Rattus norvegicus: one gene and its partner. The protein of the gene in region 1 interacts with the protein of each later gene in a pairwise test. Links are inferred from orthologs where the notes say so. Each region holds a gene or a part of one and is shown in the gene's direction. Other genes may lie near its edges. The genes, in order: Tk1 and Ccdc90b.

Region 1 (3,811 bases):
TGATCTGTTTTGTCCTCAGAGGTAAACCTTGGGAGTGCAATGGCTGTGCAGACGTTGACTTAGGACACAGTTTCCCCCCTCAGGCCTGCGGCAGTAGCCTGCTTACTCTGTGCTCTCCTGGTATTCCCAGAGGCCCAGCCGCACTCCCTAGGCACTACCTTCTTTTCTTTTCTTTCTTTCTTTCTTTCTTTCTTTTTTTTTTTTTAAAGATTTGTTTATTTATTCACTATAGCTGTCTTCATGCACACCAGAAGAGGGCATCAGATCCCGTTACAGATGGTTGTAAGCCACCACGTGGTTGCTGGGAATTGAACTCAGGACCTCTGGAAGGGCAGTCAGTGCTTTTAGCCGCTGAGCCATCTCTCCAGCCCACTACCTTCTTTTCTTAGCTCTTCCTGCTTGATAGACTCATACCCAGGTCTGGCACCAGCCTACCAGTCGCCCCAACCCTCTTCCCCATCCTAACCTATAGGAGAGATTTATTTCTATGCGCCCCACCCCCACCCCACCTTATGATTAAGGAAAACGAGTTCATTTAGTGGCTACTTGGAGTTTTGGGGTGGGGTCTTGCTTTGTGGTCCAGGCTAGATTAGAACTCGGGCCCCTGAGTGCTGGTATTGTGTAGTCATGGGCCCTCGCACAGGCTACAGTGAGTATTCAGTGTGCACTGTATAAACAACACAATTCTTGTGTGCTTCCGCCCCAGACTCTAGACCCTGTTCCTTACTAAGTTCAGGATCTCCTCGTGGTAACACAAGGAGATTGCCCTTCCTTCCTGTGTCCTCAGACAGTGGGTAGAGGGTCCTGTAGGGTCCCTGGAGCCAGAGCTGAGGACATAGAGCTTCCCGTGTGTTCATTCACCAGAAGCAGGGCCCACAGCTTCTGGGCAAGATTAGAAGCTTGCATCGTTAAGAACTTTGTTTCCCTTCTTTTTGACGCAGTAATGACAGGCTCAATGTAGGGCACAGCAGGAGCACACCAGACAAAGGAGGCTTGCCACTTAAGTGTCTTTGAACCAGAAACTACCAGGAATGCCCTGCGAGCCAATATTGTGGGTTCTAAAGCCTGCCACGGGGCAAACACTAGTCGTGGAACAGTGGCCCTCCGGGAGGGGACCGAGCTCCTTTTGGCGGAAGGGTGGTGCTTGTTTGATTGCTTCTGGCATAGACTGCACCTGCTTTGTCAGTGGTCACGTGAGACTGAGGAAGGGTCTTTATTCATGCGGCCAGGGTGCCTGCCTTGCCTGGTGTTGACCCAAGAGATTATGTTCAGCCAGTGCCAGGACTCTGATGAATGCCAGTCCAGCCTGGACGCTTCTAATTATACACGTGTGTTTTTATAGAGCAAGCCATGTCACATGCTGTGACTATTGTGGGAATGGCTGAGTCCAGGGACCAATCGCATCCATTCCAAGTTTCTGCCCTTTGGCTGCGGCATTCTAGGTCTGGAGATAAATCTGGAGCTTCCACCTCACCTCCGTTGAAAGACTAAAACTGGGAGGGACCGTGGAAGAAGAGAAAGGTTAGAACGTTAAGGTGTAGGGCAGAGATATGTTCAAGAAAAGGTCCAAGAACCAGGCAGGCAGGAGATTGCTTTGCAACCCAGGCCAGCCTGGGTTGCACAGCAGTAACCAATCAAAAGTGAGAGACAGAAGGGATGGGGAGACAGTTCTGTCAGTGAGGGAGGCCCTGGCTCTGCAGGCATGAGTGCCTGAGTTTGGGTCCCTAGCACCCGTGTACAACACTGGGTATAGCCACATGTCCATAATCCCAGTGTGAGGAAGGCAGAGACAGGCAGGCCCCTGGAGCTCCCTGACTAGGCAGCCCAGCCCAGTAGCTGTGCTCCAGATTCAGGAAGAGACCCAGCTCAAACGAAATGGAAGCGCCAGGCTCATAGCATAGGCCTTTAATCTTAGAACTTCAGGGGCAGAGGCAAGTAGATCTCCTGAGTTCAAGGCTAACCTGGTCTACACCCGTGCTGTGAAGGGGGAGGCTGGCCTGAGAGACAGTGGAAGGCGGAGGGCAGCTATCCCTGCCAACCTACTTACGTACGCCTTGTACATCTCATTACCAAGAGTCCCCCTCCTCCTTCCCTCCCTTCCTCCCTCCAGCTGTCCATGGGGGCTAAAAGTGCATGTGTGCATGTGAGGGTGGGTGCCTGCAGATGCCAAAAGAGGACATTAGCTGTCCTTGCATCTGGAGTTACAGATGGTTTGTAAGCTATCTGTTGTGGGTGCTGGGAATTGAATTCTAGTTATCTATAAGAACAAGCCATGCTTGTAACCCCTGAACCATCTCTCCAGCCCTGGTTTATTTTAACTTCCTAATCCTTCTACCTTTAAAGTAGTGGTATTGTGTTGGACACCTTGTCTGGCTCATTTGATGTGGGGGTAGGGGATGGGGGTGGAGCCAAGGGCTTCATGCACACTGTTTAAGCTGTTCAACCCCAGGGGGGTCTCGACCCACTAGTTGAGAACTGCTGTTCCAGCCTCTCTGGTATGTAGAGGCCTCTGTGGGCCAGCCCTGGGTAGCAGTGGGCATGCAGGTGGGATGTTTCACAGGAGTGGCAGTGCGGTCTGATCTCCGGCTCTGGGCTTACCTGTGTGCTCGGATCCCTCACCGTCTTCATGAGGCCCTTGCTCAGGACGGCTCACTTCATCCTCTCTGAACTTTCCTAGTTCCCTGACATTGTGGATTTCTGTGAAACGATGGCCAATACAGGCAAGACAGTGATTGTGGCGGCGCTGGACGGAACCTTCCAGAGGAAGGTAAAGATGTCTGACCCATGGCAGCGGTCTTGAGAGGGGAGACAGCATGCAAGGTCTCCCCATGCAGCTCTCTAGTGAAGCAGGACCAGTAAAGTATGATGTTGCTGAATCATGGGGTTTAAAAGAGAAGCGTTGGGCTGGGGGCAGCCCAGGCTGTAACACACTTGCCTTGCACACAGGCTTGCGTCAGTTCCGCAGAACTCCCTCCACACGCATACACGTGAACACAGGCAGGGAGGGAAGTGCCTGGCTAACACTTTTGCTGTCCTGTGTAGGCTTTCGGCAGCATCTTGAACCTGGTGCCCTTGGCCGAGAGTGTGGTGAAGCTCACCGCTGTGTGCATGGAGTGCTTTCGAGAAGCTTCCTACACCAAGAGGCTGGGCCTGGAGAAAGAGGTATCTCCTTGTGCTTCTGCCCACGGAGTGGGGTGGGCTTAGGCTTCTGAGTCCTCCCTCATACGCCTCTCCTACCAGGTGGAGGTGATTGGCGGAGCGGACAAGTACCACTCTGTTTGCCGCCTGTGCTACTTTAAGAAGTCTTCAGCCCAGACTGCAGACAACAAAGAGAACTACTCAGTGCTGGGGCAGCCTATAGAGATCCCGGCTGTCAGGAAGCTCTTTGCCCCTCAGCAAATCCTACAGTGTAACTCTGCCAACTGAGGGGACCCGGGGCCTGCCAGCTCCTTCCCCAGGTTGGACTCCCAGAGAGCAGGGAAAGGGGCGGGGCCTGCCATTCCTACTGGACATTGCACCTTGGCTTATCTGCTTGTTGAAACCTTTCTTAGTTCCCTTCTTATAATGGTTGTGAGCCCCCAACCCAACGCTTCTCTCTTAAACCCCGTGATTCAGGCAACATCATACTTTACTGGTCTTGCTTCACTAGAGAGCTGCATGGGGAGACCTTGCTGGAAATTGAACTTGGGACCTCTGGAAGAGTGGTCAGTCCTCTTAACCCCTGAGCTATCATTCCAGCACCTTTAGCTCCCTTCTTGGTTGCCAAGACACCTCAGCACAGACTGGAGCCCAGACCCTGCCTGGTGGCTCG
Region 2 (4,417 bases), on another chromosome or scaffold:
AAGAGTTCCCTCCTGGAAAGAGACTTAAACGGACTCTGAACTTACTGTGGCTCAAAAACTTTCAAATTTTCTCGAGTCCACTGTATGAACCTCAGAATCATACTCATTCTTCTTTGTTAACCTCTATTTTCCCTAATTCTACCCAGCATCCATGCATTCCTTTACCCCTATCTAAAGGTTTCTTTTCCAAATTATGGCCATACTTCGAACACTCAGATTCATTTAATGTATATTTATCAAAGGCTTGTTATGGGCCAGGCACTATGCTAAATACTAGACTTCAGCAATAGATGTGGTTACCACCCTCCTGAAGGACATAGATCAGCTCATGGCAGGAAGGGTTGTGTTCTTAACTAAACCACCAAAGGTGCACGCAGCATAAAGGCTTCAGGAGATGGCGCGTCAGCTGGGATCTGCCCATTACGAAGAAGGTGATCTAATACATTAGAAAATGCTCTCCAAGTTGCAACATATGCAAAGGCCATGAGTAAGAACAGATTAATAAAGTGTGTTTGCTCTCTCCAACCCTGTCTCCCGGACCCTGTGTTCTACTATCTCTGCTTACGGAAATCCTCGAAAACAGGTTTGAATCCTACCTCTCCCCTCTTTTCTAAATTCTTTCATTAGTGTACATTCACTGTACAAGTGATGGGTTTAATAATGGCATTCTTACTCAAGAATATAATTACTTTATGCTTGTTTATTCCCCATTAACTGCTCCTGTTACCCTCCCCTTCCTCTTTCCTAATAGTCCCTCCCCTTCTTTTTTTTTTTTCCTTTTTTTTTTTTTTTTTTTATTAACTTGAGTATTTCTTATATACATTTCGAGTGTTATTCCCTTTCCCGGTTTCCGGGCAAAAATCCCCCTCCCCCCTCCCCCCTTCCCCTCCCCCCTCCCCCCTCCCCCTCCCTTCTCCCCCCTCCCCCTCCCTTCTCCCCCCTCCCCTTCCTTATGGGTATTCCCCTCCCAACCCTCCCCCCATTGCCGCCCTCCCCCCAATAGTCTAGTTCACTGAGTCCCTCCCCTTCTAATGCTAGGAAACCATCTGCAGTAGAGAGATGTGTCTCCTGCCTCTGTCCCTAGTACCCCCGATAGAATCATTTTTATTTCCTTCCATGTGTAATCTACTAAAGTACTTGCTGGTGGGAACCAAGTTTTGCGTTTAATGAGCCTCAGAGCTTGAAATGGTGGTTGGTAGGTAGCTGATTCCCACAAAGTTGAAGTCTAGGTAAGACAATTGTAACTAGTACGTTGTTTGATACCAGGTGGAACAATGACTTTGGAAACTTAAGTCGGAGAGAGATAAACCATGAACGATATCGACCCAGTAAATGGAGAATTTTCATTTCGTTTTCCTGAAGGAAAGGCCTAAAACAGTTGGTCCTCCAGTGCACCAGAGGGCCAAGCAGAAAGACGCGAAACTACAAATGTGTGCAGCGGTTTGTACTTCCATAAGCTTTCTGGGCGAGGAAACAACCCGGTCTCATCCCCACAATCCTCAGCAGCGAGGACTGCGAGTCCCATGGTGCTATGCGACTACACAGGACTCGGTTTAGAAAGCTTGCTGTGGGACAAACTCGCCACCAGCAAATGGGCGCCAGAGGTTCTCCAAGATCCCGGTTTCTTAGGGCGGTAAAGGCGGGAAGAGATGGGGAAGGGGCGATGGACTAGAGGGATAAGCTCTGAGTCATGAGAAGTGTGGCTCTGTGAAGAGGCCTAGCTTTGTTAAAGAAAAACCCCACAAGTGTTTTAGTGACAGATCGGAAACTACATTTCCCAGCATCCTTATGGTGAGAGAACTTCATTGTCCGAAAGCCTCTGCGAGAATCAACAACATTCCGCTTCCCTTTGCTGACCCGGAGCTCCGAGAATATGAGGAACCGCTGGATTTGGCGGTTCCTGCGTCCCGAGTGCAGTGGAATCCGCTGGATTTCAAGTCCCCACGGGCGTCTGTCACCCGCCCTGCGGAGAGGTGAGGCGAAGACTCGCTCAGGGAGAATGTTCGGGCGGGTGTGCCTGCTCAGGCGTCCGCGAGAGTGACACACCCCCTACAGGGCCCCGCCCACCCGCGCAAAGCCACCCGCGAGGCTCCGGGGAGGGCGGGTCGCTGGCTGAACCGATGGGGTCTGTTGGAGGGCTGCCTTCCTTTTAGACCCAGCGGACTTGCCCTTCCGCTAGGCTTCTGAATTGGTGGGGGCACGGAGCGGGGTTCAGTGTCATAACGTTAATGAACTCTTAGGTAGTTTGCGAGTATCCTGGTTTACAAATTACATAGTGGGGTTTTGTTTTGTTTTTAAATGCCCTGGAACCTATACATTTCCAAACACTTGGGCCCTTTGTTAGTCTGTGTATCCAGGAGACTATCTTACTTTACTCTGAGAACTATTTCCTAGAGTTTTTTTATACTTTTGTTTTTCATTTTTTTCCACCGTAAAAGGCATCCCAACCTCCACATTTTATTATTTCTGGATCTATTATGAATTTGAGCTATTCAGACACATTTCTCCTCCCTCCACACTTGTGTGGTTTTGTTGTTTGCCACTGTTTTGTTTATAGCCTGTTATTTAATTCTATTTATTCCACTAACTTGAAGTCAAGGCTGCCCTTGTCTGCTGTTTAACTGCTAGAATTAGTCACATCTTTGATTACGTATTTAGATAGTATAAATACACAGTCTGATGGACTTTTCAAAAAAGGATAGGGATGTGGGTCCACTAGTAAAAGCATGTGCTGCACAAGAATAACAACACACAGTAGAATCCCCAGTACCCTCATAAAAGGCCCTTGCTGTGGCTCTCAGCCATTCCAGGTTCAATGAGAGCTGCCCTTTTAGAGAAATAGGAGCATGACAGCAGGATACAAAGGCCTCACACACAAAGGGGTAGCATTATTTTGAATATGAGGAAATAATTCAAATCTCAATTTATCTGTGTACTTTTATCAAAATTATAGCACCCCAGGAAAATGTTAATATTTTAATATAATTGTCAGGTTATTCCCCTTGAATCTGATTACTCTTGAGAGGAAATCTTGTCCCCTCTCCCTTAAAATTAGTGCATGGTTTGTGTTCCTGCTCACTCTAGACAAATAATGTCAATAGTCTAGCAAATTTGAAAGTTGATCCTTATCCCATGGAAATACCTTATTTGGTCCAACACTCTTTATATAGTGAAATGCAGAGGAAGCTGTGATTTGTCTAAATTTTCTCATTGATGGTGCTGCAGTCTTAATTTGTTATTATTAACCACACTTAGCAGAATATCAGAAACACTACAGATGTTTCTTTTTAAGTACAGATTGCCAGCCTTATGACTAAGAAGTACTGAATTAGTCCTCAGGTGGAGAGGGGAGTGTTTTCATTAGTTCATTTAATTTGCCATAGATCTCCTATAGCACATATACAGCATGTCAGTAGACTCTAATGTTAGGGTATATTCTTTGGAGTTGTTTGAGATGAGTTTCACTGTGTAACCAACCTTAGCTGTCCTAGAGCTCTAGATCAGGTTGGCCTTGAACTCGCAGAAATACACTGGACTGCCTTCTGAGTGTTGGAATTAAACCTGTCCTTTAAGTAATTAGATATATAAGTAGCTTGGGATAAAGTAAAACAACACAGGCTATAGATAAGATGTGAGCTTTGTAGTCAAAAGAACCTAAATTTGAATCCTATTACCTATCACTGTGTCTGTAACCTAAGCAAATTCCTTTGCCTTTTCTAAGCCTGGTATGGTTTGATCTAGTCTGAACTGGTTTCAGTATGTAACTCGGGCTAGCATTGAATTATGATCCTCCTGCCTCAGTCTCTTGAGTGCTAGAATCACCATATTCAGCATTAGGTACCAAATGCAGCTTTAATGCATGATCTTTTAATTTAAAAATGAGAATACTACTACCTTGTTTTGGAAGCATTTATCTGGTAGAACACCTTATACTTGACTACCACACTGACAGTTACTATCTTTTTTTAAAAAAAAAATCATTTATTATATATAAGTGCACTATAGCTGTCTTCAGACACACCAGAAGAGGGCATCAGATTCTATTACAGATGGTTGTGAGCCACCATGTGGTTGCTGGGAATTGAAGTCAGGACCTCTGGAAAAGCAGTCAGTGCTCTAACCACTGAGCCATCTCTCCAGCCTAACAGTTATTATCTTAATGTATCACAATAGTTAAGAATTTTTATACGTGCAGAATTCATCCTTGGAGGAAATATTTCATAGTAAGATTCATCAGACTATACTGTGTTTGAGTTGAGTTTTGGGAATTTAATGGATTAGGACAGGAAGATGTCAGAAATGCCTGGTAGCTCTTAGATCTCCTATACTGATCAGTAAATGCTCCAGAACTTTAAATCAAATTCATTGATTATGACTCACCTGTGTGTCAAAATGCTGTTGCATGACAAAACACATC

The links.
Region 2: the proteins of Tk1 (region 1) and Ccdc90b interact in a two-hybrid assay, tested with the Homo sapiens proteins (2 studies listed by BioGRID and IntAct). The link is inferred for Rattus norvegicus from reciprocal best matches to the Homo sapiens genes TK1 and CCDC90B.

Annotation. Positions count from the first base shown.
Region 1 is NC_086028.1:103,534,566-103,538,376, reverse strand, and holds part of Tk1 (thymidine kinase, cytosolic), read left to right. Parts: intron 1-2,677; coding exon 2,678-2,767; intron 2,768-3,042; coding exon 3,043-3,162; intron 3,163-3,240; coding exon 3,241-3,426; 3' UTR 3,427-3,811. UniProt on the Homo sapiens protein: Cell-cycle-regulated enzyme of importance in nucleotide metabolism. Catalyzes the first enzymatic step in the salvage pathway converting thymidine into thymidine monophosphate.
Region 2 is NC_086019.1:156,043,621-156,048,037, forward strand, and holds the start of Ccdc90b (coiled-coil domain-containing protein 90B, mitochondrial precursor), read left to right. Parts: upstream 1-1,571; 5' UTR 1,572-1,873; coding exon 1,874-1,973; intron 1,974-4,417.